2 linked regions of the Tamandua tetradactyla genome follow. The main gene of each other region encodes a partner of the protein of the gene in region 2 in a complex. Links are inferred from orthologs where the notes say so. Each region holds a gene or a part of one and is shown on either strand. Other genes may lie near its edges. The genes, in order: NOP10 and NHP2.

What was found.
Region 1: NHP2 (region 2) and NOP10 share a complex: the UniProt entries of both Homo sapiens proteins name them as parts of the H/ACA small nucleolar ribonucleoprotein (H/ACA snoRNP) complex. The link is inferred for Tamandua tetradactyla from reciprocal best matches to the Homo sapiens genes NHP2 and NOP10.

What each region holds. Positions count from the first base shown.
Region 1 is NC_135340.1:45,695,439-45,705,496, reverse strand, and holds NOP10 (H/ACA ribonucleoprotein complex subunit 3), read right to left. Parts: upstream 4,235-10,058; 5' UTR 4,157-4,234; coding exon 4,103-4,156; intron 3,822-4,102; coding exon 3,681-3,821; 3' UTR 3,432-3,680; downstream 1-3,431. Other genes in the region: NUTM1 (NUT family member 1), read left to right, coding at 4,431-4,448, 4,721-4,783, 6,085-6,160, 8,207-8,915. UniProt on the Homo sapiens protein: Required for ribosome biogenesis and telomere maintenance. Part of the H/ACA small nucleolar ribonucleoprotein (H/ACA snoRNP) complex, which catalyzes pseudouridylation of rRNA.
Region 2 is NC_135346.1:59,723,856-59,735,762, forward strand, and holds the start of NHP2 (H/ACA ribonucleoprotein complex subunit 2), read right to left. Parts: upstream 4,464-11,907; 5' UTR 4,385-4,463; coding exon 4,225-4,384; intron 4,142-4,224; coding exon 4,072-4,141; intron 1,924-4,071; coding exon 1,818-1,923; intron 1,267-1,817; coding exon of another isoform or gene 1,222-1,266; coding exon 1,096-1,221; 3' UTR 1-1,095. UniProt on the Homo sapiens protein: Required for ribosome biogenesis and telomere maintenance. Part of the H/ACA small nucleolar ribonucleoprotein (H/ACA snoRNP) complex, which catalyzes pseudouridylation of rRNA.

The sequences.
Region 1 (10,058 bases), on a different chromosome or scaffold from region 2:
CTGGATGGAGAAGAAAGAGAAGGGTGAGCAGCAGAGGGTGCAAGGCAGATCGGAATTCTGCCGCCGAGATGTCTGCGGGGGTGGCGAGCCCGCTCTTCTCCCGGCAGTAAAGGTCCCTGGGATCTGGGAGGAAAAGGCTAGCGGATCAAGACACCTCGGACTGCAGCTCGGGGTCTTGGCAGGTCGTTGTCAGTCCATCGAGCTCACGGTCTGCTTACTGATGATGTGTCTTGCGTGTGACAGGAGATGCTTCCTCCCCTATCAGGACCCCAGCGCAGGTCAGCCCCTCGCCGTCCTTCAGGTTCTAGCAGAAGAGGAGACTGCCACGCAGGCTGCCACCGGATGAGAAGGAGGGGGCGATCCGGCGTAGGGGAGTAGGAGGTCGCAGGTGCCGATCCCCGCGCCAGCTGATGCTGGTGCGCGCGCAGCTGTTGTTTACTAGCCGGTAACTGTTTCCGAGCCGCGGCGCGCGTGGGAGGGCTCCGGCAGCAGGGGAGGGTGCCCCCTCCCCAGTCAGACGCCAAAGCAGCCGTTACGTGACCTCGCCACCCCCAGCGCCCGGCCCGGCGGTCTGCAGCCTTGCCGCCGGAGCCCCTCCTTTCCCGCCCGACTCGTTCCTCATTCGAGGTTAACAGTCCGGAAAAAAAACCTGGGGGAAGGGTCGGAGGGCGGCACCGTCCTGCGCGCGCCCGGGAGCCCCGCCCAGCCTCTGCGGCCCGCGAGGTGACGGAGGACTGCGCGCATGCGCCCACCCTGGGCCCAGGCGAGCCGGGTGGGCGGAGGGGGCGGGGAGTAGGACCGAGCGTTTGAGGGTCCTGGGGTATCGCGGAAATTGGCAGTCGGATGTAGGGGCGGAAGCCTCGCGGGGTAGGACCGGGGTTGCAGTACTTGGAAGACATTTCAAAGAGGAGACCTCAAGGGCCATCTCTCTTTAATAAGAGTGTTTCTGAAAATACCATTCATAATCTCTGTAAGAATTATAACAATCCCCCCATTCCAAATATTTACGTATGACCCTTATGGGAATTTTATGTAGAATTCTATCCTAAAGCGTAGAGGCAGCAATTTTAGACGCACTGGATACTGCATGATTTTTCTTGTTTCCGTCTTTTGAAAAATAGTAGGCCCATTTTCTAGTCAGACTGAACGTTCCATTAAAGAACACTTTAGATAAATAATTTTAGACCTGGAAAAGACATTGAGATACTTTCTCTCTACTCCCAGTGCTCTCCCTATTACATTTACTGGCGATGGAGTTATTTTTTAGTGTGTATATTTAATGCATAAAGAGGTGTTCAATAAATGTTGACTAAATTTATTTGCTGTGCCTTTGATCAAGACATTTAACATTCTGGTCCCAGAAATTGGCCCTTGGCTTTCCCCGGGTCTTTGCTCCTCACAAGTGGAACTGTTTAAACCGCATCTTTAAAAATTGGTTCAGAACTGTAAAGACCCAAGCCAGGAAAACCCCTTTTCATCAAGTGGTACACAAAGTCCAAAGTCCATTTTAAAAGACCCAGGTAACAAAATGAGGAAAAAATGTGCAGCTCCTGAAGCCTGAACCTTTATAAAGCCTGTGGTACTTGATTCAGGTTCCTAGCTTTCTTACAGATACAGCAAGAAATCCATCTCCCCAAGGGATATTTTTAACTCAGGCAGGCCTGTTTTTCACTGGAAACCCACAGACTTTCCTTTGTTAAGAAATGCTGGATTTTACATCACCAATTTTTTTTTTATCACAGTGTACTTACATTTACTTATATATCCTACGTAATGCTAATATACTATAACTCTTAAGATTCCTCTCTTGTCTTTGAGCACTCATCAAGCTCTATAAGTTTATGTCCCAGGAGATGTTAATACCGAAGGAAAAAGTTCTCATTACTGCACAACAGTTTGCCTTTTCTCCTCTACTTCAACTAGGAACATTTCCAGCCCAGGGTCTAATTTCAGTCTATGTTGCAGGTTCCATGGGGAACAATGCTATTTTTTTTTTTTTAAGAAAAAAATCAGCATTGCAGTCAACATTAAAAAATAACAGTAGAGTTCATTTACCCACTCTTAAGAAAAAGAAACTTTTAGCATCAGGCCCTTTTTCTTGTTACTCGTATAACTTTAAATATTTCACCAATCATTACTCTCTTAATAGGTTAGGATAACTCCTTAACATCCTTTCTACCCAATGTTAAGAACTTTTTGAAAGTGACTAGGCTAAAATAAAAAAAAAATTAATTGCTCAAAAGGAAACTATCTCATTTCAACATTTTTGTAAGTTTAAGTAATTAATTTAAAAATCATCTTTCTCCGTTGATTATGATCCAAGTCCAGAGACTTCCTTCTTTCTCAGCAGTCAACAACTGTCCTCAACTTTTCTGCTAGGATGGTCAGACAACATGGGCCAAGCGAAATGTTATCTATCCCTTTCCATTGTAGTCTTTATAAATGACATTTGTGCTGATTTGAGTTACTTCTGCTAATTTTGACAAAGTAGGAAAAGATTGCTGAATTAGAATATGTTCTCCAAAAAGCAATTTTTAAACCAATGGCACTGAGCAGGCACATTCAAATCCAACGTCAAAAGCCAAGTAACACAACTGAGAAATAGGGGTTGATTAACTTGACAATGAGAGGAAGAAGCAACCTAGCATTTCTTGAGTGCCTGGATACAGTATTTTTCTGCACCCTCTTAATATGAAGTAATTGGATTGAAAGTCATTTATTATTGCTCCATGATAGAAGCTCAGGTCCTAAAAGATTTCAAGTTCTTTCTTGAACCTCTCATACCTCACCTCATCTCCTAAATTAAAGTTCATGAAGAGTTCCACATAGTAGCTGCCAGAAAGAATGCAAAATTAGGTTTGTGTAAAAAGAGAATTGATTAGAGACCTAAAGTTCTGGGAATATTTCCAGAGAGAAAATATGCATGTGGGCACTACTATTCATAAAGTTTGGACAAACACTACAGATATACTGAAAAGAAAGACTCACTAAATCCTCTCAATTTTAGAGCTGGAAGAGAACGTTGAAATGATGTGAAAAATAGCACCAAATTCTTCAAGTTGCACAAATAGGGGAAAACCTTCATCTCCTGACTTCCAATCCACTGGCCTTCCTCTACAATATGGTTGCTATTCTTTTTCAATAAACTCTTCCATTTTGAGTCAAAATGTCATTGCTAGGGGGCACAAGGAATGACAACATGGGTATTTTTCAGTGAATATAGACAGTTGTGAAGGTCTTTCTCAACCTTTCTTCCCCTTTCCCGACGCACTCCGATCAACAACAGCACATCACTACTCGCTGCTACAGCAGCGACTGAGTTTTTCTTACAAGTGATCTTATTGCCATGCTCTGGGACATTTCCCCCTTCATCTCCCTCGTTTTTTTTGTTTACCAACTCTTTTCTCCCACAACACACAAAATGAGAGCTCTTTTAAATCATTCTGTCTTTAATAACCCAACAGTAGTTCACAAAATGAAAAGATTCAAACTTGTTTCCTTTATAGGAGATGCTAACATGATTGCCTCACACAAGCATGATCAAAGGCAATGCGACTAGATTCCAAAGACCAAGGGTGGTAATAAAACAGGGCTTCAAGATTCACAGACTGAAGAGCTTATTTAAAGAAAGACTCCGAGGGGTAGCAGGAGACCGAAGAGACATGAAATATGAGGGACCCTCAGAGGACAGGGCGCGGTTGCTGGGTCATGAGCACCTTGAAGCGTTTCTTGATGGTGATTCGGTGTCGCGAGTATTTGTCGTCTGGGGAGAAGCGGGCAGGATGGGCTGAGCAGGTCTGTTGTCCCATTGGGTCAAGCTTCTGCTCGAGAAGGGAAGAGAAAACACGATCTCAGCACCGGAGTGAGGGGCAAACTCAATTACTGGCGTCATAAGGTTGACTGAGGCTGGAATAGGGGGTGCGGGTGGGAACGCGATAAGGCGCAAGCAAAGGGTTAGGAGACGCGACGGTCTGTTCAAGAAGCGGCACAACCCTGCGTCTACACGCCTCGGTTCCGGCATTTCTGGATCTCCAAACCTAGCCGGTCTCGTCCGCCCGCCGCCGCCCCCTGCCCCCCATTTCTCGCAGTATCCTCTCCTCACCTTCAGCGTATAGACCCGGTCTCCCTGCTCATTGAGGTAAAAGTGGAGAAACATGACCACGCTTCAAGCAGAGACACCACTTCCGTCCGCACGCTTATCTGCGCCTCTGCCTGTCCCACCACCTCACGTGCTCACAACGTCCTTCCGGTATAGCCGGAAGTCTGTCTCAAGCCATGACGGGAATTGTAGTCCATTTTTGGCATTTTCTTCAGCTGACCAGAAGGGGGCGCTCTATCGCAGGATTTGGCCTGGGGGCCTGCAGTTGTAACCTTACATGCCTTGATGCGTGGAGTGTACCCACTGTGTGCCAGGCACTGCTAGGCGTTAGATGGGGGTGGGAGTGAACGTGGGTTGAACATTAATGAATAGAATTCTGTCTTTGTTTTACGATGCCCACCCATTTGAGGGGCGGTGGGTGTCTAACACCAGGAGAGAAAAGGACTCTGGGATTCAGTACCCCTTTACCTTAAAATAATTTTTCCCCCTCCCCGCTTTTGCATCCGGTTCCCCGCCCCTTTTCAAACTATTGGCGGTAAAGAGTGCATGATGGGTATTCAATATTCTGCACAGCGGAGAGAGCGTGAAGTTATTTTATGAAACTGGTGAAGTATGTTTTAGTGGTCGAACCAGGATTCAAACTCAGGTCTCTTTCCCGCATTTTCAGCGCTTTTTCTTATAGTGGTGAGTAACTAATGATAGCATAAAAGAAACACTTCTAGTGGCATTTTGAATTTTAAAGGAACGTAGAAATTTTCTTTATGGGGCTGTAGCTTAAACAAATGAAATTAGAACCAAGATAGCATTACAAAAATGATTATTGCAGCAATATCTATAATGCAAAAACACTGAAACATATTATTAATTTATAACCACAAAAACCTGAGAGCTTTAAAAAAAAAAAAAGAATATAGCTTGCATTTGCACAAAATGCCTCGGCAAGGGTCCATAAGAAAAAGGTAATATTGGTTTCCTCTGGGATGAAGAACTCTGTTACAGGAAGAAAACTTGTTGCTGTATATTCTGTTTTGCAGTTTGACTTTTGAACCATGCTAATGTATTTACCTATTTAGCCAGGAGTAAATAAACAAAGGGCTTCCCTGAAGTCCTCATTTTATGTCATCTTACTGATTCCCTGTTTTCTGGAAACAACCCTGAGTTGTCTCTTAGAAGCTGGGAGGCTGAATTTTTTAATCTTGAGCCAGCACGGTTGTTCAAGGTTCGCATGGAACCATTTATTTAAAACAATTCAATTAAAATTATTTTTTTTAATTAAGTATTTAACAACAAGAAAATAATTTAACAAACAAAAAGAAGAACTTTCTGGTCTAGAACTTTTAGGCTACATGGCAGTTTTTTTATGTGGTGGGGCTTTTCGGCAGAAGGGATGACTGGTAAGGCTGGCCTGATGTGGACTGCCAAGCTTATGGTAGTAGACCATTTGAGGGCTGCAGGACAACTTTGCGAGTAAGTGATAGGCATATAGCAATCAACTATCCTGGATCTTCTGAGACAATCTGAATTTCAAATATTCAGTCGCCTTGATTCAGTATGCAGACTATGTGGTCTGAACTTCGTTTAGAAAATACAGCCATCATTGAATTAAGTCAAGGGTCTACCAACAACCTGTTATTAAGAGGAAGTCAGTTACTCTTGAACTGGGTGGGGCTGAAGAGGCAAAACTAGATATATTGGTGAAGAATTGAAGTAAATAGAGGTAAAACTGTTGTGTTGGGAATTTGAGAAAGTATTTTCAAATTGCCCTAAAGAGGTACATGCCAATTGTGCTGCCAAACCCTAGTTTGTTACCAAACTCAGTTAGTGCCTATTTTTCAGAGTCCTTCGTGGAATATTCCCCTCATCCGTACCCCCTATTCCAAGCCTCCCCTCCCCCACTGCAGAATGCCTTGAGTCCTAGATTCTAGTTCTATTTTGATTCGATCTTTACCTTCCCTTTCTTGGATCCCTGGTACCTTCTAAGCCAGCTTATTCTCTGGGTCCTGGAGGCTTCCAGACAGCCACAGTTGGTGCCCAAATCTGAGAGGATAGCTTCAGATGGAGGTAAGTCAGTGGGTGTCAGATAGGGAGGGTTCCTGCCACCTACTCTCCTGCCACCTACTCAGACCCTTGGGGATTCCCATTTGACACTTTTGTCTGACAGCAAGCTCTTTGGGCTGGCCTAGAGGGAGGAGACCTGTGGACCCCACCAAAGGCATCACACCTGGGGGAGGCTGGGGAGGGAGACTGAACAATTCAGACTGGAGTTTGGGGAAGGAAGAGGGCTCCTTAGGGGTAGATTAGGACACCTCAGAGGAAGTAGGCTAGGTAGAGAAAGGCTGGCAATTAGGAACTGGATTCTCTAGGAGGGGGACCACATCAATGTGTGTTTGTGCAGCAGGGGCAGAGGTATGTGGTGGGAGGGGCCCAGAAGGGTTTCAAGGGGAAGGCCCAAGTTCTTAAGTCTTTTTCTTTAGGTGCCTGCTCTAGCATTTTGCCCTGAGAGAACTGAGATGAGGTCACTCTTCATCTTATAAAGGGAAGAGGGAGAGAAGATAGGGTTGGGGGATGATTTTAGTCAAAAAAACAGTTCAGTGTCTCATCTGTTGCCAAGCCTGCAGGGAAACATTTTCCTGAAAGCTAGGCTGGAAAGTACTCTAACTGCCAGGGCTCAGAGCTTCACAGCAACTTCCAGCCCCAGAGATGGCTTTTCTTTCTGTATAGCAGTTTTCCTTGATTCATCAGGGCCCAGGGAGGTGGTGGTTAACTCCAACTGGGAAGAAAGCTTTGATTTTATGTTTTGTGGGACTCAGGCCTTCAGACCAATTTCATTTTGTTCAGTACTTTCGGCCATACTTGTGGCCTTCTGCGCTGCTGTTGAGATGACTAATTTGCTTATATTCCATGTCTCCTTCAAGGCCAGGAAGTAGAAGCTGAGTGTTGTCAGTTTGCCAGAGGAATGCTCTTTATAAGAGCAGGGTGGGGTGGGGGGATTAGTATGAATTTAGGCAGATTATCTTCTATTATTGTTATTTAAAGTCCTAGGAGACACGTCCTAATTAATTAAGCACCTTTTGTTTATCCTTAGTCCCCTTAACTAGAATCCACACAAGCAACTCGTGAGCAAGAATTGTGTTCCAGACTTCAATTATCCTTCTCTAAGCAACCAGCTCACAGTCTTGTTCTGAGTGACTCCTAAATTTCTGGTTTTAGGATTTCAAAGCAGAAGGACTGCAAGGCAGTCTGCAGCGCCAAATTTTTAACACGTCTGGCAGCTCTGGAAACCTCCCTACATCTCCCACCCTTCACCCATTTCCTGGTACTTATCTAATCTTCTGTAGTCATTCCTGGCTATTATATAACAGAATTTCTGGGAACCAAACATCTAATCCACACACTTGGTCCTGGGGACAGGGCTTCTGTGAGTTGTGGCAGTGACTACAGAGCAACTGAGAGCAGGGTTTAGGTGGTTTGAATTTGTTTGACATGGTTGGGAATAGGGGATGTCCATGTTTGCTCGTGGGAAGTGTCATGGGTGTGAGTGTCACGGATCCTAGGGTCATTGCTCCTGCTAATAGTTTGCATCTTTCTTCTGTTGTTTTAGGTTAGGAAAGAAAGAAAAGAGATTTTATAAGAAGACAGAGGGGGAGATGGGTCCAATAATCTTTTTGAAACTGCCTCTGTGGGTTCCTAAAGGAGCTGGACAAGGTCCCTTTTCTGCTTATGAGCCTGCTATGGGGTCTTTTCCTGCAGAATAGGTGTCAACCCTGTTCCCTATGGGGCTGTCAGTGGAAGTCTGCCAGGAATTTTCTTGGAGAGGCTTTCCAGGAGCATGGGCTTGTCTCTTTTTGGAAGACATGGATTGGGGAGTCTTGTTGGAAAGGGAGTAACTTCTCCAGTGCACTCATTCACAATTGGGAGTAAGGAATATCAAAATCACCTGGGGAGGGGAGGACAGTTGCAAACTACTCTAGTTCTCAGTCATATCCCCTCCCTCACCTGTTAAGGATCTAGTGGTCTAGTTCTTCAGTGAGTAAAAAGAGACCCAAGTGACCTAACTTCTGGTCTCCTTTCTCAGACCCCATTCCCTCTTTTTCTTTGTCTCAACAGCATCTTCATTGCCTGGACCGGATATGACCATGAAACCTGGCTCCACTATGTCCCCTTTCACTGCACTTCCTTTTCCTCCACCTCCACCTGGCCCACCAGAGCAACCACCCTGGGAGCCTCCCCCACAGCCCCCCATGCCTTCAGCATTCTCTCCAGGCAACCCTCTTGTGCTCTCTGCTTTCCCCAGCCCACTGTTGGTGGCAGGGGATGAGGGCCCTGGCCCTAGTGGGGCTGGGACTGGCAAGGTCATTGTCAAAGTAAAGACAGAAGGGGGAGCAGTTGAGCCTCCTCCAACTCAGAACTTGATCCTTACTCCGACGACGGCCCTCAATTGGATTGCCCCAGGAGCTCCTTGTGGAGGTTCTGAGGGTCCTTCACCGAGATTCCTGACGGCCTCTAATGTGAAGACCATTCTGCCTGCTAAGGCTTCCGGGGTGAGCCAAGAGGGGCCCTCGAGCCTTCCTCTTCAGGCGCCACCACCAGCTGTCCAGCTATCCCCCACTGTCCTACAGGAGGTTTGCCCAGGGCCGTATGGGTCTCCTGGGGAAGGAAGCCCTGTGGCCACCCGATCCAAGCCCTCACTGAGTGACCTTTCCTATACCTCCAAGGGTGTTTATGAGAACTTCCGACGCTGGCAGCGCTACAAAGCTTTGGCCCGGAAGCATCTATCCCAAAGTCCCGATGCAGAAGCTCTTTCCTGCTTTCTTATGTAAGTGGGGAGACCTGAGATTGATTAATCCAGGGCTTTTACATAGGGAGAACTTTGGGATGGTTAGGCTATTTAGGAATAATTGAAGGCAAGTCATGAAGGCCCTGGAGATCCTAAGAAGATAAAAGCATGATAATGATGATACACTTCTTAATCCACTTCCCAGTTTATAACAGGCTTTTAGGTGTCTTTTCTCAAGTGATCTTTTCAACACTGTGAATTCAGGCAGGCATTTTAAATATACGCTTCTATTACAGATAACCACACTCAGAAAGGTTTCCTGTCATAAAGACAGGAGCTATGATTTCAACTTAGGTCTCTGACCCCAAGTGCCATAATCCTCCCATTTTCTTACTACCTTCTAATATTTGAGTCGAGTCTCACTGCCAGCCAGGACAAGGAGTGCTGGCCTTTCCTGTGGGAGGCAATGGACTGTATAGGCTCAAACTGAATGTGGGGACTCAAATGGACATTTGCACACTGGTGTTTCTGGTGGCAGTGTTCAGGATCCACAATGCATGGAGGTAGTCTAAGGATACGACCACTAAGAAATGGAACAGGTAACTATGGTATATACATACAATGGACTGCTGAGCTGCAGCAAGAAGGAATGAAGTTGTCAGGCATGCAACTAGTTATATGAACCTTAAGGACTATATGTTGAATGAAATGTCAGGAACAAAAAGAAACTTGGTGTGCCCTGCTTCCATTTTATTGCCCTGCCATTTTATTGAGAATTCAAGTTGAAATAGGGAAGTGGGAGCATGCTTATCTGGGCAGGACATTTAATGTCATTGATACTCAGTTTTCTTATCTAAAAAGGAGTTAATTAATTAATTAATTAACCCCAGAGGGTTGCTGAGATTAAATGAGCTAATATACCTAGAATGCTTAGCAGTGTCTGACAGAAGAGAAGTCCCCATTAAATGGTAGTCATAGTTATCATCATCATTATAAGGCAACCTAAAAGAGGAAATGAACTCACAAAAGTCCAAAATATCCTTGCCTTAAGGGTTTGAGTGGATGCTAGCCAAGGAATCTGGGGTCATGGGCTGTCTGTTGTGCTTATAAAGCAGTCATTAGTTATCTGGGGAGTTTTCTCTTCTTCCCACCAGACCCTCTACCTCTCTCAACTCTGCACTG
Region 2 (11,907 bases):
GTGCCCAGGAATCCAACTCGCCATCTCTGGTTGGGGAAAAATCCTGCAACGAAGGCATAATTCCATGGGACACACACCAGATAAGGACAGAGGCTTGCAGGGAAAATGTGGGAAATGTCAGACCCTGGGCCAGAGGCTTTATGTGTGTGTGTATATATATATATTTATATATATAAATCTTATTACCTCCATGTTATCAATCAGTGTAAGAGGATTTAGGAAGATGAAATGACTTACACAGCAAGGCTCACAGCTTGTAAAGGAGAGAGCTGCTTGAAATCTAAATCCCTTCTGACCCTCAAGCCCAAATTTATCCCAGGGGGCTTGAAGCTGGGTCCCTGTGTGTCCTGTGTCCTACATTAGATCTTTGACAATGAGAAGGGAAGTTAAACCTTAGATTTGAAATGTGTGAAGACATGGGGCCAGGGGCTATTATGCTAAACAAGAGAGCTGGCCTGGGGTTAAATTTTACTGTGTGGGTAGGCAAATTGTTTCCTTGTTTCACAATGGTAGCTCCTGGGGAAAGAAGAAAAACTGAATGGGGGTGTTCCCAAGACATAACGGCTGCAGGCTTCAAAGAAATGGGGTCTGGTTTGTACTGCCTTATCTTGCAGCTGTGAGATCCCACCTGCTCTGGAAGTACAGGCTGAAAGCTCTGGGGTGGGCAGCAAAAAGTCCATCTCCCAGTTGAGTCCAAGCACCAGTTTAGATGGCCAGGTCTTGACAGTCTCAAAATGCTTAGGGTTCTCTGGCAAGAAAGTCTGCTTCCGCTCTTTGCTGCCCACCAACTCCTTGGTACCCCCAGCAGCTGCTGCTTAAAAACACCCACACACTCACCACATTTTAGTCTTAGCATTTACTTCCCCCACACCAAATTCTTGGAATGGTCTTCATTTAAGCTCAACAGGAAATGGCAGCGATGGAAAAGATGCTGGCTTTTACCTTCATGAATTAGCTGCTGGAGCTGCCTGGGAAGAAAAAATGCCTCAGGGGACTGTGGAAACGCTGTGCATGTGGGCAGCAAAGAGGGCAGCCAGCTGGCCAGCCGCCAGTCCCACCGCTTCCAGAGCAGGTTCACAGGTGGTTGCCCGAGTCTCACAGGGGCGGGGGCAGGGCCTGGACCTCCTCGAGGCACTCATCGTAGGCCTCCTGGTAGTCCTCGTGGGGCTTGACCATGATCACACAGGTGGGGCGCTTGGAGCCAGCGGCCGCCCCCAGGTCCTACAGAGAACGGGGAGAGAAAGGCTGGGGGAAATGCCGCACAGCCTGTACACCAGAAGTCACAACTGATGACCCCAGGCCTAATATGGCCCAAATTGTCCTACTGGGTCCGTATTATGCTCAAAAGCATTTTGAATTGGTTGCCACTTTTTAAACTCAGCAAATTTTCAAGTCACATCTCCATAGGGCAGAGCCTATGTTCTCCAGTCCCCACCACCCCTAACTCTGCGGCACTCCAGCTCTGGCCCTGCTACGTAAAGATAAGGACAGCTGCAGCTTCCCAAAATACTGAAACACCTAACAGGGCTCACACTTGTGCCACATTTTAATTTGGAAAGCATACACACTCGAGTCTACTGGTTTTCAGTCTCACAGTCCACACAGGAATAGATTCTGATTTTATGAGGAGGAAACTAAAGTGCAGGAAGGTAACTTATTTTCGGTTCCACAACTAAGCAGCAGCAGAGCCAAGCACTGATCCAGAACTCTCCTGACTCCAGAGCTTGTGTCCTTTTCCACAATAGCCTAGTGCCACAGTCCAGGTCCCAGACCCCCTCCCAGTGCCAACAAACGTTGGAGGGTGCTGTGCTTCTCACCGTCTTGGAGGGAATGTAGACGTAGGGCATATCCCGGTCCTCACACATCACCGGGAGATGGCAGAATACCTCAATGGGCAGTGTGTCTCCTGCCAAAACCATGATCCTGAGAAGAAAGAAAACACTGTCATTTCTAGCCTGCTCTTTTTTCAGCCCTTCAGTGCTGCCTCTGGGTTGGGCCTTGGGGTTACAGCTCAGAATAAAGTGCCTCTGTCCTCAAGGAACCCATAGTCATTAATGGGGATGTCTACAGTCCTCGAAAGTGGGAGAAAAACAGTGTGTTTGGGTGAGTGCATTCTGGGGGAGATGATCTCTATTTTTTAACTACAGATTCAAATGTATCTCTAACCTAAGAAATAGTTTAGGTCTGACCTAAGACCCACTGATTCAGTGGGAGGTGACATGGCAACAAGTAAATGCCACCAAGTGTGACAAGTGGTAAAGTGACAGAGTATGGCAGGGGCACAAAGGAGTAAGTAATTCTCTTTGGAAAGTCAGACAAGGCTTCAGCCAGGGGCCAGCACTTGAACCAAGGCTGAACGAATGAATGGCAGGCAGCTCATGGGGGATGCAGAGTGCGAGGAAGACATTAAGGCGAAGAGAAGCAGAATGGTACGATACAGCATGGAGGCTGCTGGCAGCCTGGATGGCTTTGAAATCCAGGATGGGGATGAGGTGGGCAGTAGCCAAGAATGCTAGACAGCAGGCAGGCGCCATACCAACGGCCTTGAGTGCCAGGACACCACTAAAGGCTTGTCTGAGAATCCTCAGCTAGGGTTCCTAGCTGGCCAGGTTGGGCTCTGGGCCAAGGACCTCCGGAGCCCTGAAGACAGATGAAAGAATCTGTTCTCCAAGGGTGGGTGAAAGGCAGGCAGGAGAGAAGCCCAGCTCAGAGCACTGCTTCAGTGTCCTGTTTGCCTTCTGCTTCTTGGGCTCTGTTCCTCTGCAGGATTCTCTTCCTTTAAGTACCTTTGAAATGTTGGTAATCCTCACAGCCTGGTCTCCGACTGCCCTGTGTCACTTAACACCTTCTCCCTGGCCGACGTGATCCTCAGCCATGGCATCAGTGCCATCTATGTACTGACAACCCCCAAATCTGTTTTCTCCAGACCAGCTGTCACTCCCATATAACCAATCCCATATAACAATCTGCCTACTGTCTCAAAGGCACCGCAAAAACTTGTCTAAAACCAAACACTATCTCCTCACTCTTCATATACTAAAGTTATTTCAAATCCATCTACCTGAATTCTCACCATCTGCATCCCATCACCAGCCTAATCAAAATCACCCTTACCTTTTCTGGATTGAAGTAGCCTCCAGTTTTCTCACATCTATTCCTGCCTCTCTAATTTTTTCTTTTCTCAGTTGCCAGGAAAATCTTGAACTGTAAACATACTTAGGGTACTACCTAGCTGTACCACTTTAATGGTCCACCTAATGCACAGAGTACAAGAACCAAATTCCTGACTGTGGCTTACAGGGACTCATGAGAAGATAGGACCTCTGCCCACCTCAGCTCTCTCCTGCCCTAGACTTTTATACAGAATCCTCTTCTGCTGGAACAACCCTCCCACCACTGGTTAATCCCCGTCCTCAGATCTCAGCTCAAATGTGAATTGTCAGGGAAACTCGCTGATGCACCTATCTCAACCCCAAGTAGGGCAGATTCCTATCTGAACATCACCCCCTCCCCCCCCCCCCCCCACACACACACAGCATTTTATCTTGGGCATCTATTGGGTCAGACACTGGGGATAAAGAGGCCCTGGTTTCAAGGGGCCTGCAGTCCTATGTGGGAAGGAAGGGAATGAAAATGTAAATAAGTACCACAGGTTCTGATAAATGCCGTAAGATAAGCAGGGCGATGATGTCATTCTCACTGCACCCTGTACGTTTCCTTCACGGTTATCACAATTTGTAATTACTTTTGTGCATGCGATTATTCGATCAGTGTTTCATCCCCACAGTCAGGTGCCAGACAAGAAAAGGATGCCCAATAAATAGTCGCCGAATGAATGAAGCTGGGGTCTACTCTGAGTCCGTGTCAACAACGGGCTTCCCTCCGGAGTCCACTGTCCCTTTGAGCTCGTATAAGTGATTATCGGAATCTGTACTGCAGGGGATTCGTCGGCTGCTTTATCTTCTGCATATGGGGCTGAGTCAGAACCGATTTAGGAATATCCTTCTATTAAGCCGTAAGGGTTTCCCTCTATCTAGACTTGACAAATCCGGCGGGGAGGGGAATCCTTACCCTTTTTCGCCTTTGTTGATAAATTTCTGAACCTCCTTTACCCCGCGCCGAATCTGCTTCTGCTTCACGGCTGTAATGACAGGGCGGTTCAGCCAGGAGCTCTCGCCCCGCCAGACTCGCTCGCGTCCCGGCCGGACCCCGACCCCGGCATACCTTTCTTTATGCATTTGTAGAGCTTCCGCGTGAGTCGGCGAGAAGCCAGGGGCTGCGCGATGGGGTTCAGGTTGACCAGCAGCTCATGGTAGGTGCGCTCCCCGGCGCACGCCTCGGCTTGAGCCTCCGGCCGGTCGGGATCCGGCTTTATTTTGGTCATGGCAGCGGCCGGGGCACTCGCCCAGTCCGGGTAGTCGGGAGGCGAATCCACGCGGCGGGCCGCTAAAGGAATCACTTCCGGGTCAGCCCGCGGTGCGCGAGGCCGGCAGGCCACGACAACCAATCGGAAGCGAGCACCTCCGACGCAGGCCAATCGCTGACGCTCAGTGGCGGAGCTAGGGCAGCGGCTGGAGTCTTGGCGGGGAGGCGGGCCGGGCCGGCGTCCTATGGGACAGGAGGGAAAGGGACCGCGGCTTCCGCCGTCCTGAGAGTTCCCGCGTCGCGGCTACGGTGGCCGAAGGAAGCGGCCGTTCCTGTGGGGGCGTGGCTACGACCGGGGGGCGGCCCTGGCGGAAGAACAGGCTCCCCAACGGCCCTGGGAGGTGCGCCCCAGGTGCTGGACGTTAGGGCCGAAGACCGACGCTGCTAACGCGTTCTTCCGTTTTGGCATCATTTCTCCTACGTGCTCCCTCTCTGAGGAACCCGGATGCACAGCTCCGGAAGAACCCAGAGCAAGGGATCACTGGCGCCTAGGTCTGGAGCTCTTTCCTCCAGAGCGCGCCGCGGCTCGCCCGTTCTCTTCCAGCACCTTCTGCCCACGTATTTCCCCGTGGGAGAGGCTCCCGTCTGAGCCCGTTATCTAAAACTGCAGCCCCCCACCAGCATCCCCCAGCCCTGTATGTTCCTCCTGGTTCTTACCACTGCCTGCCTTTACCCAGGAGTGGGGCTGAGACCGAGTTGGGGCTGATGGGGAAGGCAGCTGACGTGCAGCCTTGGCCCCTGGGAGCGAAACGCACGCGAGGCTAACATAGGGTAAGGGAGGCAGATCTGAGAAGACAGACCAGTTCGGATGTAGCTGTGGAGAACTGTGGATCGCGATGCCAAGGGTGGATCTCGTCATCACTGATAAATCTCTTTGATCTTGTGGAATGCTAGATGGCTATTAACTGATGCAAAGTAATTGCCTTTGCTTATGCGGTGTAGGTCCTTCATTTGTGTGGTGCAATAAGGGGTCAGGAAGCACAACTTTAGAAGTGGGTGGGTGGCAGTGGGGGTGGCGGGTTATTTAAGCCAACGTGTCCAATTTAAAGATGGACTTTTTCATTTTCTTCGCTTTGAAATTGCATGAGAAGAGAGGCCTCTCCCAGAGCTTTAGAAACACTGAGTTACTGCCAACTTTCACCTTACTAGAGACGATTTTGCAGTACCATTTCTCATCCCAAACCCTCCCCTGTCCTCCTACCTCCTATGTGGCAGCAATTCTGATCCTCCCTGGGCAACTCTTTCCAGTGGAATGCAGGGCCTGAGACCAGCCTTGTGGCAGGGCTCCATGGAGTGGTTTTCTATTACCATTTCCCAGGATAAACTGCATAGCGGTTTTCTGTTCGTGTTTCGAAGGGATTTTCTTGTACACAATTTGAGCCTTGTAGATCTGGTGTGAAAATGTACCATGGTCACAAAGGTGATAAGTGCTGCCAAGTGTGCACACAGGGTGTTCTAGTTTGCTAGCTGCCAGAATGCAACACACCAGAAACGGAACGGCTTTTAAAAGGGGGGATTTAGTGAGTTGCTAGTTTATAGTTCTAAGGCCGAAAAAATGTCCCAATTAAACCAAGTCTATAGAAATGTCCAATCAAAGGCATCTGGGGAAAGATACCTTGGTTCAAGAAGGCCAATGAAGTTCAGGGTTTGTCTCTCATCTGGAAAGGCACATGGCGAACACAGTCAGGGCTTCTCTCTCAGCTGGAAGGGCACATGGCGAATATGGCGTCATCTGCCAGCTTTCTCTCCTGGCTTCCTATTTCATGAAGCTCCCCGGGAGGTGTCTTCCTTCTTCATCTCCAAAGGTCACTGGCTCGTGGACTCTCTACTTCGTGGTGCTGCAGCATTCTCTGCTCTCTCTGAATCTCTCATTCTCTGAAATATTTCCTTTTTTATAGGACTCCAATAAACCAGTCAAGACCCACCCAAATGGGTGGAGACATGTCATCCCTTAATCCAGTTTAACAACCACTCTTGACTAAATCACATCAACCAGGGAGATGATCCAATCACAGTTTCAAACATACAGTGTTGAATAGAGATTATTCTACCTTATGAAATTAGACTTATATTAAAACATGGCTTTTCTTAGGGGGCACACTTCCTTTCAAACCAGCACACAGGGCATGATATGGACTGTTTGTCCAGTGACGTGATAGAGAAATCCATCCCTGAGAAACCCAATTCAAACAAATACTGTTGAGTCCTTGGCCTCTTCGGCTGTGAGGACCATTCAGGTCTTATAGGGAAGGAGGAATGAAATTAACATTTTGTGCCAAGGGCATTACATAAAATAGCTCATTCAATGCTCATGAAAACTACCATTATTATTCACGATATACTGAGGCTCAGAGAGGTGAGTCACTAGTTCCAGCTCACACAAAGCTGAACTTGATACAGCCAGGAGGCTGTTCTGAGGGCTACTCTTAACACAAGCTTCCCAAATCCCAACCACTCCTATTAACCCTAAAGAATACTAGAACACTATCTGAAATTCTACAAAAGTTTCATGCACTAAAATTGCTTTCCAGATACCTATAACCTTCAGATGGGTTCCTAGGCCAGGTAAATTCTGAAACCCAGAGGGGCCAGCCCCTCCAAGAACATTAAATAGTTCCATCCCTCTATCCATTCCATCCCCCTTTCCAACATGAAAAAGTTAGAATGGGCATAACCCAAATACCCCTAAAGATTGAGAGAAGAATCAAAGGAGGAGGAGTTATAACAGAGAAAATAGGATTTAACAAATGAGTATGATTGCTGAATCATTATATCAATATTTCTTTTAGTCTCCCATGTCTTGGAGAAGCTGGAAGAAAATCCTAATATTGTGGAATGGTAACCCATACTAAACTGAAATCTGTTTTATAACTTGTATATAATGTACTTTGAAATTTATTGCTTTTTTGTATCTATGTTATATTTCACACAAAAAAAGTTTTTTTTAAAAAAAGTTGAATTTGAGTCCAAGTCCACCTATTTGAAAGCTCAGATTCTCCCCACCCATGTAAACTGGTGTTTGACTTCAGCTCAAAGGATGTGAAACATGGCTCCACTGTGAAAGTGAAGGACCCTCAACCTGGCTACAAGTGTCACAAGTGTCAGCATCTTAAACCAAGAGACAATGATATACCAAGAACAAATGTCTCCTCAGTAAACCACACTGTGTATTTCTAAAGCCAGCCTCAGTGACCTATGCTGATTCCAAGATGGCTTGTGTAACTTTATCAATTTTATTGTTAAAATGTATTGCTCACTTGAGATTCATAGAACCTGCCACGCAGGAGACCCGGGTTTGATTCCCGGCTTATGCACTTTCCCAAACAAGCAAAGAAAGAAAGAGAAAACAAACAAAAATTCAACAAATGGTGCTGCAATAACGAGATGCACACATGGAAAAAGAATGAAATATGACCCCGGGTATATAGCATACAAAAAAAAAGCCATTGGATCAAAGGGAGAGATGTTTATTTGGCACAAAATTTATATTTTAGGTCATAGTGCATTACCTAATTTAACTTGTCTGGTCAGTTTAGGTGAACACTATAAGTACATGGAATCTTGAGTAGGATGTAAGATTTTGTTGGTTTGTCAGGTTAATGTGATATTCTAATACATTCCAGAGTAATTTGGGCAGTGAATAAGGAAATATTTCCAAAGTCCCCTTCTGGGACTGGGAGGAAAGGAGGAAATATTCAACTTTCCCATTTGGAGAATTTCTGATATTCTTGCAATCAGTGGGGACAACCAAATCAATAGACCAAGCCCTCGATCTTGGGGTTCGCCCCTTTGAAACTTATTCCTGCAAAGGATAGGCTAAGCCTACATAAAATTAGGCCAAAGAGTCATGGGAGAGGCCATTTCTTCTCATGCAATTCCAAAGCAAAAAAAATGAAAAAGCAACAGTAGGTAAAAATTTGCTAGAGAGGTTGAAGAACAGCTGTCAGTAGAAAGAGTCACTGAACTTGAGGATAAGGCAATTGAAGTCATCCTGTCTGAGGAGCAGAAAGAATGAGGAAAAGTGAACAGCTCATGAGGAAGTTGTGGGACACCATCAAGCATACCAATTTATGCGTTTGAAAATCCCAGAAGAAGAAAGGAGAGAAAGGGGCAGAAAGAATATTAAAAAAAATAGTGGCTCAGGGCGGGGCTGCTGTGGCTCAGCAGGCAGAGTTCTCGCCTGCCATGCCAGAGACCCGGGTTTGATTCCCGGTGCCTGCCCATGCAAAAAAAATAAATAAATAAAGAGTGGCTGAAACTTCCCAAATTTAATAAGAAACATGAATATTCATATCCAAGATGCTCAATGAACTCCAAATAGGGATAAGCCCAAATAGACACATACCACATGTAATTAAACAGTCAAATGCCAAAGATAGAGAATTCTGAAAGCTGAGAAAAGCAACTTGTCAAATACAAAGGAGTCTCAATAAAATTAAGTGCTGATCTCTCATGAAAACCATGACAGCAGCAAGGCAGTGGGATGACATATTCAAAGTGCTGAGAGCAAAAAACTGCCAACCAAGAAGTCTATATCTGGCAAAACTGTGTTTCAATAAATAGGGAGAGAAAAAAAATGAGGGAGAGATGAAAACATTCCCAGAGAAACAAAAGCTGAGGGAGTTTGCCGCCACTAGACTGACCCTCTAAAAGCTGCTAATGAGAGCTGGAAGGAAAGAACAATGGATCAATAGATCACAGCACAGGAAGAAATAAAGATCTGCAGTGAAGGTAATGACATGGGTAAGTAGAAATGCCACTACTGTTGATTTTAGGTTAGTAACTTCACCTTTTTACTTCCTGCAGGATCTTAAGAGGTATGAGCATAACCTTTAAGGTATAGGCATAACATGTAATGAGAACTCAGTGGTTTTAGACTCATATGGTATAACATGCAATTTGTGACAAGAACTATATAAGCGTGAGGGTATAGAGGGGCACAAGAGCACAGTTTGTGTACACTAATGAAGTTAAATTGGTATCAAAGCAAATGTGATTGTTGCAGATTTAGAATGTTAAATTTAAACTACCATGTGTGCTAGTTTGTATCTATTATATACCCCAGAAAAGTCATGTTATAATCCAGACCCAATCTTGTGAGGGCAGCCGTTTCTTTTAATCCTGATTCAATAGGTTATTAACTTTTTATTAGATTATTTCCATGGAGATGTGACATGCCCAATTGTGGGTGTGAACTTTGACAGAGATGTGATGCTCCCCATTCCAGGTGGGTCTTGATTAGTTTACCGGAATTCTTTAGAAGGGGAAACATTTTGGAGAGAAACTTCAGAGGTGACAGAAATGACAGAGCCGACAGAAACTTCAGAGCAGAGCTGACATAGATGTCGACACTTGGAGAACAGTGACATGGATGTTTGGAGATGCTCGGAGCCCAGCAGACGTCACCATGGGATATTAAGCAAGCTAGAACCTGGAGAGAGCCAAGGGAAGCCAAGAGATGAAAGCCAGCCCTAGAGAAGCAAAGTGAGGAGCCCCCACAGGAACAGAGGCTGAAAGCAATGGCGCCCAGGAGCAAGGGACCAGCAGATGCCAGCCTCGTGACTGCCCAGCTGACGGAGGTGTTCCTGACCCATCAGCCTTTCTTGAGTGAAGGTAACCTCTTGTTAGTGCCTTAATGTGGACGCTTTCACTTCCTTAGAACTGTAAACTTCTTATTGCTTTTTTTTTTTTTTTTTTACATGGGCGGGCACCAGGAATCGAACCTGGGTCCTCTGGCATAGCAGGCAAACATTCTTGTCTGCTGAGCCACCGTGGCCCGGCCAGAACTGTAAACTGTAAAGTTATTAAATTCCCTTTCTTAAAGCCATTCCATTTCCATTATATTGCATTCCAGCAGTTTACAAACTAACATACCATGGTAAATACAAAGAAAACGACAGAAACTAGGCAAGCTCATAGAAACAGAAATTAAAGTACAGGTTTCCAGGGCTGGGAGGCCAGAGGGAATGCGTGTTAATGCATAATGGCTGTAGGGTTTCTGTTTGGGGAGATAGGAAGGTTTTGATAATGGAAAATAGTGAGGCTGTCACAATATCGTGAATATGTTTAGTCCCTTTGAAAAGGATGCTTGGGAATGTTTACGATGGGAAAGTTTATTTTGTACATGTTTCCACAGCTTAAAAAAAGAGCAACGAGACAATGGCAGTTCCATACAGGATCATGGATAGACCCTAGCAAGGGAGGAAAAGGGCTCAAAGGGACATCATGGGAACATATGAAAAAATTGGAATATAGACTATAAGCTTTATATCGATGCTCAGTTTCTTGAACATGATAAATGTATTTCAGGTGATTACATAAGTGAATATTCTAGTTCTTAGGAAACGACCATGGTAGTATTGAGTGTTCAAGGAGCATGACGTGTGTAATCTACACTCAAGTGTTCAGAAAAGGGATTGATGAACAAGTAGACGGATGAATGGATGGATAGACAGAGACAGATAGATAGAATGATATGGCAAATGTAACAAAATGTCAAAATTGGTGAATCTTGGTATCTGGTGGAGTAGGGGTGTGTTGGAGTTCTCTATGGGGCTTGTATTACTTTTGTAACTTTACTGTAAGTTTTGACATATTTCAAAATAAAAAGCTTAATAAAAAGAAACCCTGTATCATACCCTTTAGCTGTCACCCCTTGACTCCCCCATCCCTCAGCCCTAAACAACCATTAATATACCCTCTGTCTATATATTTGCCTATTCTGGACATTTCATAAAAATGGGATCTTATGATATATGGTGTCCTATGAATGACTTCTTTCACCAAGTATGTTTTCAAGGTTCATCCATGTTGCAGCATTTATCACTACTCATTCCTTTTCATGACTGAATGATATTCTATTTATGTATGTACCAATTTTGTTTATCCATTCATCTGTTGATGGTCTCTTGGGTTGCTCCCACATTTGGCCTTGGCATATAATGCAGTGATGAACATTGGTGTACAAATATCTGTCCGATCCCTGCTTTCAGTTCTTTAGAGGTATATATCCACGAGTGGAATTTCCAAGTCTTTTAGTAATTCTATGTTTAACTTTTTGATGAACCACCAAACTGGTTTCCACAGTGGCTACACCATTTTACATTCCCATCAACAATGTACAAGGGTTCCAATTTCTCTATATCCTCCATGTCTTTTCATTCTCTTGATAATGTACTTTGATGTACAAAGTTTTTTTTTAAATTTTTATTGACATATCAACATACAAACACGAACATTCTTAACATGTACGAAGGTTTTTTATTTTTATGATGTTCAATTTATCTGTATTTTATTTTGTTGCTTGTACTTCTTGTGTCATATCTAAGAATCCGTCACCTAATGCAAGGTCCTGAAGATTTTCCCTATGTTTTCTTCTAAGAGTTTATAGTTTGGGCTCATATTTATGTCATTGATCCATTTTGAGGTGATTGTTTATGTAGTGTAAGGGAGGGGTCCACCTTCATTATTTTGCACATGGAT